2 linked regions of the Caenorhabditis elegans genome follow. The protein of the gene in region 2 interacts with the protein of the main gene of each other region in a pairwise test. Each region holds a gene or a part of one and is shown on either strand. Other genes may lie near its edges.

The links. Proteins that work in one complex are often made in the same cells at the same time.
Region 1: the proteins of R01E6.5 (region 2) and Y61A9LA.3 interact in a two-hybrid assay, tested with the Caenorhabditis elegans proteins (one large-scale study listed by BioGRID).

Annotation. Positions count from the first base shown.
Region 1 is NC_003283.11:4,568,854-4,574,505, reverse strand, and holds the start of Y61A9LA.3 (C2H2-type domain-containing protein), read right to left. Parts: upstream 3,372-5,652; 5' UTR 3,364-3,371; coding exon 3,305-3,363; intron 2,778-3,304; coding exon 2,549-2,777; intron 2,209-2,548; coding exon 2,118-2,208; intron 1,374-2,117; coding exon of another isoform or gene 582-1,373; intron 1-581. Other genes in the region: hpo-39 (uncharacterized protein), read left to right, coding at 582-1,373; sut-2 (Zinc finger CCCH domain-containing protein 14), read left to right, coding at 4,479-4,529, 4,591-4,907, 4,967-5,071.
Region 2 is NC_003284.9:13,535,084-13,539,405, forward strand, and holds R01E6.5 (Histidine-rich glycoprotein-like), read left to right. Parts: upstream 1-1,975; 5' UTR 1,976-2,013; coding exon 2,014-2,039; intron 2,040-2,115; coding exon 2,116-2,531; intron 2,532-2,578; coding exon 2,579-2,874; 3' UTR 2,875-3,026; downstream 3,027-4,322. Other genes in the region: acr-12 (AcetylCholine Receptor), read left to right, coding at 134-236, 289-426, 474-641, 1,032-1,229.

The DNA of each region.
Region 1 (5,652 bases), on a different chromosome or scaffold from region 2:
TTCGTCTTTCACAGCTTTTTCCCGTTTTTTCTTATTAAAACTGATAACCAAATATTTTTTGCAGATGCCAAAACGATTTCCAAGTCAATAAAAAAAATGTATTCAGTGGGCAAGCAGCGGTGAAAGTGGTCAATGTAAAATGATGGATTACGGGAATACAAAACCTAAACTTTTTCTGAAACATGATACATATGATGCTTAGATGCTGAAATTACCTGATTTTCATAACGAGACCGCTGAAAAAGTTTTGAGGTTTTCAAAATTCAACTTTTTGTGCGAAAATCTCGACTTTTTCACCAAAAAAGTTGAATTGTGGAAACCTCAAAACTTTTTCAGCGGTCTCGTTATGAAAATCAGGTAGTTTCAGCATCTAAACAGCATATGTATAATGTTTCAGAAAAAGTTTAGGTTTTGTATTCCCGTAATCCATCATTTTACATTGACCACTTTCACCGCTGCTTGCCGACTGAATACATAATTTTTTGACTTGGAAATTGTTTTAGCATCTGCAAAAAATATTTGGTTTAATTACCCAAGTTTGAGTTTGAGGTACGCCGGTCAACTGCTGCAGGTCATTGGTCATGTCGGAACCACCTCCTCCTCATTCCGCCCCAGTGCCTATGGTGAAGACGGATTTCTTCGCTTTCTCTGGTCCTTATCTCCCGGAGGACGCTCACGGTACGAGTTCTCCGCCGGAGAAACAACAGCAAACCCGGAAGCGCGGTCGCCCGACCGCTCTTGAATTGCTCACTACCCGTGTTGAAGAATTGGAAAAGGAAAATTCGAGCTTGAGAACCTTCCGTACCGCCGCTGAAAGCAGATGTCGTGCCCTGGAGAGCAAACAATCGGAACTCTTCCAAACCGTCGAGCAGCTCAAGGTAGTTGTTGCCAAGCTCACGAACGAATGCTCTGCCCGTGTTACCTCCAATTTGCCCGCTCCACGCCTGTTCGCCGATGTTCTCAAGGGACAATCAGCCGAGAAGAAAGCAGAGATCATTGCAGAAAGACGTGAAGCAGCAGCCAGCATTTCCCTGTTTGAGAAGAAGACTCATTTCGCCGTGATTGAAAATCTACCGGATGATGGCTCGGATTCACAATCCGCCAAGGATAAGGTTTTTCTCGATAATTTAATTGCCGCTAATCCCTCCCTCCCTGTACATATTCAAACTTTCCGCGTCAAAACTCGCAAACCAGTCTTATCCCGCCCAACAAAAATTCGTTTCTCTTCTGAAGCCGACCGCAATTCGTTCATTTTCTCTTTCTCCAAAACTCTCCGTTCGTTGCCTGATCGCCCCACTAACCTTCCAAGACCCATCCGCTGCAGACGCGATATGACCAACGATGTTATCTATCCTGAGAGAGTTGAGAGCTGACGCTTATAACAGAAATACCCAAGCTGGCGAGATTCGTTATTATGTGCGCGACCTTAAGATTGTGACTCTCTCGTCACCGCGTCCACTTCCTATCTCTGTTGATTCGGCTGCTCCCGTTGCTAACGCATAGGTAAACGGCCACCGGGCTTTATTATCGTCTTGTCCGTCCATTGCTTCTCAAAGTGTGTCTTTCAAAGGTGTAATTTATCGTACGCGTCATACAGTAGCAGGCTTTCCCAATTTAATTTATTGTCTACCCACCATAGACGGGTTCTTCAAATCCTCCGAACCTTCCATAAAATTATTTCAAGCGAGTATCACTTCCCGTCCTTATCATCGTTCGTTCGAGCTTCACGCTCTACTCGTCACCCCTATCTACTTGTTGTCTGTGGCGTCCCGTCTAAATGTTTTCTACATGTTAACTTGTCGTTGTGGAACCGAATAGCAAAACGTTTCCCTAAACTGTTAACTCCAAATGCATTTGCGTCGCGCCTAGGCTCTATCCCATTTGACACCCTCTTCCCCCCAACTTGACCTCCCGGGCTATAGCTGGTCCAATTGGTCATTTTATTTATCTGTCCACACATCTTTTTTATTTTACTTTTTTTCTTTGTCTTCCGGTGTAGCTATTTCTTGTGGCAAATAAACAATTATTATTACTTTTCCGAATTTTTGAATCGCCATCACTTTTTTGAGAAATTTTCGGCAGTTTCGGGCCATTTTGGGTCCAGTCTAAAAACGTACCACTGATAACTTGAATTTCTGGAGATGCAGACCGACTTCTCGCGATTTCCATTTCTCCGCCAATGTGCTCAAAGTCTAGTCTCGGCTGAAACTATTTAATTCGTGAATTTTCATCAAAATCCGAAAAAAAAGTCTAAAAACCAGAAAAACCACATCGCAACCAATCAGCGATTCGCTCCGCCCATCCTTCAACCAATCAGATTGAGTGGGCGGAGTTCGAAGTCGTTGATTGGTCGGGGAATTCTCGTTTTGAAGTCAATTCTCAAAATGAGGATTCCCCGACTTCGAACTCCGCCCACTCCATCTGATTGGTTCAAAGATGGGCGGAGCGAATCGCTGATTGGTCGGGGAGTTTTGGAGGGAATTTCAGCGAAAATTGAGTTTTTAAGTTGGATTTTTTGAACTTTTCGACTCAAAATCGCGCTCCTTACATGTCTGAGCAACGGCTGTCTCCCTTCATTTCTTCCCATCGTCGTCAAATCCTCTCCAAACGGCCCCTTATCGAAACCACGTCTTCTCGAATTATCCACTACGGGTCCATTATAGGTGTCCACCACCGGCTGAAATCCGTGATACGGATCACTTCCTCCAAGAATTGCAGCTCTCATAGAAGGAACCGGCGGGCCAGGACGTCTATCGAAATCGCCACGTCTAGCATCACTGAAAAAATATAAAAAAATGAGTTTTATTTTTTTTTCCCGGAAAATCCGGATTTTTTCATCCTCAGAGGTGAGGTACCGAAATTTGAGACTTTGCTTTTTAGACCCAAAATGGTCCAAAACTACCGAATTTCGTAATGAGACGTTCTGAAAATATTTCAAAAAAAAAGTTATGACCGCTCGAAAATTTTGGAAAAAATGGCCAATTTTTAGCTAAAATCTCAAATTTTTTCCAACTTCTCGGTGTTGCAGCGGTTAGAACTTAATTATTATTTTTTTATCACTTTTTAATAAATATTGTGGTCTTTGATTAGGCGTTTATTCGTTGATTTAAGTACATTTATGGTCAGTGGGGCACAAAATTTAACTTTTATTTGTGCCCCACTGACCATAAATGTACTAATCAATGAATAAACGCCCAATCAAAGACCACAATATTTATTTAAAAGTGATAAAAAAAATAATAATTAAGTTCTAACCGCTGCGACACCGAGAAGTTGGAAAAAATTTGAAAAAAAAACGGCTCACATTGGAATATGCGGAGGAATTATCCGATTTGGAACATGTTCGTACGACGAATGTCGCATGTCTCTAGCTGGAAAAAAAAACCGGAAATTCGTGGACAAGAACGGATTTGAGGAGGAAAAACGAGGGGAGACGCAGACAGAAATGCACGCAGCCACAGAAAATCGATAGTTTTCCACGAAATCAGTCTAGAAATATTTGGAAAAAAATTATTTCAAGGATGGAAATTGCTGGTAAAACTGTGAAAGTGCTTCAAAAATCGATTGAAAATGAAAAAAAATCTAAATATTAAATTTCATTAAATTCTCTCAATTTCTAGTTGTTTTTGGTGATTAAATGAACAAAATATGCATTTTTTCGGCAAAAAAAATCCGAAAATCTGAAATTTTAAGCTCGAAAACCTAAGAAACTCTCTGAAAATCGATAAAAACAAGAAATCATAAATTTCAATCTATTTTCAGTTATTTTTGGTGATTAAATAAACCAAATACACATTTTTCCGGCAAAAAACCCTGAAATCCTCTGAAAATCGATTAAAACTTAAAAAAAAATGAAGCGTCCGTAAAAATAAAGAAAAATCATAAATTCCAGCGATTTTCTTAATTTCTAGTTATTTATAATGATTAATTGAACAAAATAGGCATTTTTCGACAAAAAACCCTTAAAATCTTCAATTTTAACACAGAAAACCTGAGAAATCCTCTGCAAATCGATTAAAAAACACAAAAACCTTTTATGCAAAAATCTGCATTTTGTCGTCACAGTGTGTGCATACTTTACACCGAATCTTACGACAAATAATTGTCGCTGCTGGCATTGTGAGAGAGAAAGGGATACACGTGATTTTCGTATAATTCCGATTCGTTTTCCCTGAATTTTTCTAATTAATTTATTGAATTATTTTAAATTATTGATTTTCTGTCAATTTTCACACAAAAATTGCCGCTGATTTATTCAAAGTGTCGGTTTTTATCCCGTTATTTGAATATTTTCGAAAAACCAGATTATTTGTGGTTTTAGTGATTTTTAGTGAACTTCCGGAAGTTTCTTGAGCCAATATAACTTTGAAATCAGTTTTTAAAGCTTACTATGACATTATTATCTTAAAAATTGGAACAAAAATTGTGATATTTAGCTTATTGATTTTTTTTTGGTTTTCAGATATAATCTGTTCGAAATGAATACTCAAACAGGGACAGGAACCTCAGAAGTGTCGAAAAAACTAAAGGTAACGTTAAATAAGTTAATAAATTTCAAAAATCGCAAAAATTAATAATTTTTTAATTCAGGCCGCGATTCGAGCCAAACTTGAAGAGCTCGGCGTCTACGTGGACGATGAATTACCCGATTATATTATGGTAATGATTGCGAATAAGAAGGAAAAAGTGCAGATGAAGGACGATCTCAACTTATTTATCGGAAAAAGCACTGCGAAATTCGTCGACTGGCTTTTTGATCTGTTCGATCGCCTACAAAACGCTTCGAACAAGCAAGGAGAGACTAGTAAAAAGGAGGAGGATAAGAGAAAAGAGCTGGAAGCAACAGCAGCAGCAAAGGAGCATGAAGAGAAACGAAGAAAAGAGAAGGAAGAGCATGAGAAAGAACTGTAAGTGCCGAGCGAAGGAATAAGAAATAATTAAAAATTGAAAATTTCAAAAATTCCAGGCAAAAAGAAAAAGAACGTGAGAAGGAGCGTCAACGAGAACGTGATCGTGAAAAGCGGGCCGAAGAGGAGAAGCGTCGTGAGGAGAAGAGAAAAGAGATTCAGAGGTAGTTTTCTGATAGAACACAGAATATTTCGGGATCACAAAATTCTGAGAATGCGTATTGCGCAGCATATTTGACGCGCAAAATATCTCGTAGCGAAAACTACAGTACTCTCTCTCTCTTTAAAGGAGGACTAACGGTTCGGACTCAAAATGAGCTCAATCACGCTCTCCTCAAAGCTGATTAATCATTAGAGCGCGCTCCGCCTCTATTTCTGTGCGACGCTGCTTTTTTTGTGCAAAATTCAAGAATTAAAGGTGGTGTATTCAAAATTTTTATTGTTTTATTAGACTTGAAATTGTCTCAAAACACCGAATTTCATAATGAAACTTCTTGAAAACTTCTCAAAAAAAGTTATGGCGGCTCAAAAAATGGACTAAATGTAGTTAAAATTTGAAATTTGACTTGTCAGCGGCTGGAAACTAATTTTTTTTTTGAAATTACCGTCAAATTTTGAGTATAAAATGTAATTATCTTGCTTTTTCAACTTGATTTAAGTACTTTAAAGTCGATGGACGAAGAGATAATTTCGCCGTTCATCGACTTTAAAATACCTAAATCGAGTTGAAAACGCAAGATAATTA
Region 2 (4,322 bases):
TCCGTACGTTTTTATTTTTCATAACTTAATACATAGACTTTTTCCTGAAAACATCACAAAAAATAATTTCAAAAACCCAACAACAAAAACCTGTGTATAGTTTTGTCTTCGATAGAAATTTATCAATCTTCAGAATCTTGCTGATGTCGCGACCCGAAAAAGGCGAAGTGACCAAACAACCACCACTAGTGAATGCGGCAAGTTTGGTGGGCTCCAACTATGCAACAGCGGCGAAGGTAACAACTATACAATCAAATTTGTTTGTCAAACAAGGCGTTGAATATTCAGGCGGCTAACGAGTATCGCAACAAGGCCAAAGGAAAGAACAATGATTTGATGAGCTTAAGAGGGAAGCCAAGCTCACAAGCTGTTTTGAATAACACATTCGATATGAGGATGAGGAATAATGATAGTACGGTGGAGAATGTTAGTAGACAGTGGTTTCTTAAAAACTACAAGTATTGATTTTTCAGAGACTGAAGCCGTATTTATGTGCTCAAAATAATAACGCGCCAACGGTGGCGTTTAGGAAAACCAAACGACAAAAAAGCAAATCGGTTGATGATGTGGTTTTTATGAACTTACTGAATCAAGTGAGGTTCATTGCAGAGCACTTCCGACATAATGAACTGGAAGGGGAGGTGAGAATTGCGCTGTACTTAAACTCTGTTTTGTAACAAAACATACCATGTGTTCAAAAATCAATTAGAAAACATTTAAAAGTTATGAGTGATAGAAACAATGAAATACAAATTTCAGGTCAAGCATATTTGCTATATGTCCAGGTTTAAGGAGAAATAACGAAGTAACGTTTTTCTAAAAGCGATAAAAGCACACGACAGCCGTTCAAATTTAAATACAAATTTTCAAAACTTTTTTTTGCTGTAGACTTTAGTTATTTGTTAGTTTGATCGTAAAATACTAAAACATCTATTTCCAAGGTTCGCACTTTCTGTTTCCGGAAAATGCGGACCTGTGGCGTCATGGAAACATTACTGCGAATCAAAATTAGATAAGAATTTTTATTGCAGATTTCGGATGATTGGACATTTGTCGCAATGGTCTTGGATCGGCTATTCCTTATCATTTTCTCAGTGCTCAATGTAGGAACAGTCTTTATAATTTTGGAGTCACCGTCTCTATACGACTATTCTAAACCGATGAACATCACTGTGCCCAACAAGCCGTTAGGACAAGCTAATTTTTACAGTTCATGGAACTTGAAGTGATCAAAACTTATTGAATATGTTTTACCAACTGATAATACGGTTTTTGTTTTACAATTATAAATTTAGCTTAACCTTTTTTCCAAATAACAATACATATACATTTTATTAAACAGAATTATACAGAATGGAAGAGAAATGAATTATTTTTTCATATTATTTTAGAAAAAAACAAGAAACAAGTTAGAAAAACAACGATGATACGGATGTTTTAAACAAAAGTATTTCTAGGAGGGTCTGCTTCAATAAAATCAAAGTGCTAAAAGTACCCCATCTAAAAATATATTTCTTGCCGCTTCGATAGATCTAGTTGGCCAAACAGGAAATTTGAGCAAAATTTAGTTTTTTTTTTCTAATTTCAACAACATCATCCTCATCAACTAAAGAAAAAAGAACAATATTAGATGTCTCAAATCAAACAAAAAAAGTGACTTGGGCAATACATACAATGAATCCAGAAAGTAGCAATAGGGCAAGGAAAAAACGGTGCGTCAAGGAAGAATAGTGATGGGAGGGAAGAATGGAGACTCGATGGTTGTAGTGAACATGCCAGGAAAACCGGACTGTGCAGAAGGCGTTGGGGCGAGGAAAAAGAGGGAGAGAAAAGCAATGCAAAAAACAAAGGATATGGGTCGGAGAAAAAACTAAATAATAATAGTACAAATCGCAGTAGATACGACCTCGGAGACAAGTATAAAAGCGGCGGGTGCCGGCGTCCAAGGCATCCAGAACTACAATGTTCACTACTTCCCAACTCATCTGCTCTTCTTTGCTTATTGCATCGCTCATGGCGAGCCCCATCAGCCATTCTAGGTGAGCACTTTTTTTTTCAATTTTCAATTTTATTCTTAGAAAAAAACAATCCGTGTATCAAAAAAAAATATTCCAGCCATGAAAATGCGTCCGGCAAATACGGATATGGGGATGAGTCCCAACATGGAAAGAACTTCCACCAGAAGGCAGAACATTCCGGGCATGAAGCGAAGGAAAAGGGCTACTCTCAAGATGGAAAAGCCGCTGACCACGACGCGCTTCACAAGGACGCTGCCGAGCACAAGCAAAACAAAGAGGCTCACCAATCTGGATCCGGTAACAAGTACGTCGATGATGCCTCGAACTACAACAAGGATGTGAAGACCAAGACTTTCGGATTCTTCGACTACCGTTACGTTCAACCACAATACCACATGGAGCAGTACCATACCGATGAGAAGCACGCCAACAAGTATGCCGGAGATGAGCACAACGCCGGGCAACAGCACAAGGACAACGGAGGATACCACGCCGACGGACACCAAGGATACGGTAAGACTATATCTTTCACAAACACTTGAGCATGGTTTTGTATTCAGACAAGGCACAAGAAAAGCACGGAGCTTCCCACACCAACTACGGAAACGAGGACGCCGGACACAAATCCAAGTACGACGACAACGAGGGCAAATACGGAGACCACACCGATGGATACTACAACAAGGGATACGACAACTACGGACAAGGACACGACTCCGAAAGCTACCAGCCATCTTACTACCAACCGAAGCCAAAGTACTACGGAGGACACCAATCCCACTACCAACCATCCGCCAGACACTCAAGCCCATACCAAGGTGACCAATACTACGGATACGAGGCCCCACACTACTGAGCACCAGCCTGGAGCAGTTTTTGAACTTTTCTAATTTCGTTTTCTTTTAAGATTTTGATATGATTGCACACTGTGCTCTATCACCGTCTTGAAAATTTTTCAATTTCTTGTCTTTTCATCTTTTCGGGAATAAAATTGTAGTGGAAATCAAAAAAAACGGTTTTCTGAATTGCATTATAAAACATGAGAATTAAAACACAAAGTTCTCAAAAAAAAAATGTTAAAACCAGTTTCAATAATAATGAGTGTACCGAAATAATTAGAAAAAGTAGTTAAACGTATGTGGTAAAAAGAACAAATGTTCGAATAAAAACGCGAACAAATTTTATCAGCTATCTTTTTTAAGTTTGATTGAAACAATTTTCAGTTTTCATAAACTTACAATTTCTTTTTTTTACAGTGGCTTCTGTAATTATTTTTAAAATTTGATCTGCTCAGAGCATTTCTATTAACCCCTGTAGACCTGATGAGCACCAACATGGCCTAATATAAATTTCTTGGCTCCCACGTGACTAAACACTGGTGTTATAATAAATTAAAACATATCATTATGATACGGTTGTCTGAAATAACGTGGGAGGCGGGATTCCGTGGTTGACCTAGTTGCCTGAATTGTTAAGTACAAAAGTAAAACTAGTACCTCACAAGGTACGGTGTGGCAAAATCTGGAATTATTCTTTTAAAAAATTCCCCTTTGTCGTAAAGTTTTATATTTTTCGAAATTTAAACCAAATACTTCAAACATTCTAAAACATTTTTAGACATCTAGAAAACAAAAGACCAGCTATACATTTTTTCTAAGTTAAACAACAGATGAAATATATACAAATGACATTTTTATAATTATCAATTTTATTCAAATAAATGGTCTTACTTTCTCCATAACTCAATTTCCAGAAATGTTCCTGTTCCAGAAACATTAACATAGACTTCAATTATTTTCCCCCAAATATTTCATTGTAGGGGCCTTCCAGAATAAAAAGGAACTAAAGCCATCTGCTAAATTTTGTCAAATTTTTCTCACATTTCATAAAGTTCGAAAGTAAACATTAGTTTATCCAAGCAGTTCTGCAAATAACTTTTCAATCAGAGAAACTGTCAAAAGTTATGGAGTTTAATAAGAAGCTCTCAATTTTTGCTCTTTTGGTAGGACTATATAAAAGACTGACGTTTCTGAAAAGTTTCCGACCTCAATACATTTAATAAACACGAATCAGAGAATCTTCGAATTCTATTAAACCAAATAGTTCGTTTTGCAATTTAGTAAAATTTGATGTTCAATTATGTAGTTTGCTTCTCCCAACTATTTTAATAACCAATTAATTGATTTCAACATATCAAATCAAGCCAAGTCTAAGTTGAAACAATTTTTTAAAACATTTATTATGTACGGGCTGGGTGGCTTAAACATATAATTTCTACATTTGGAATACTCTTATCAAATCCCT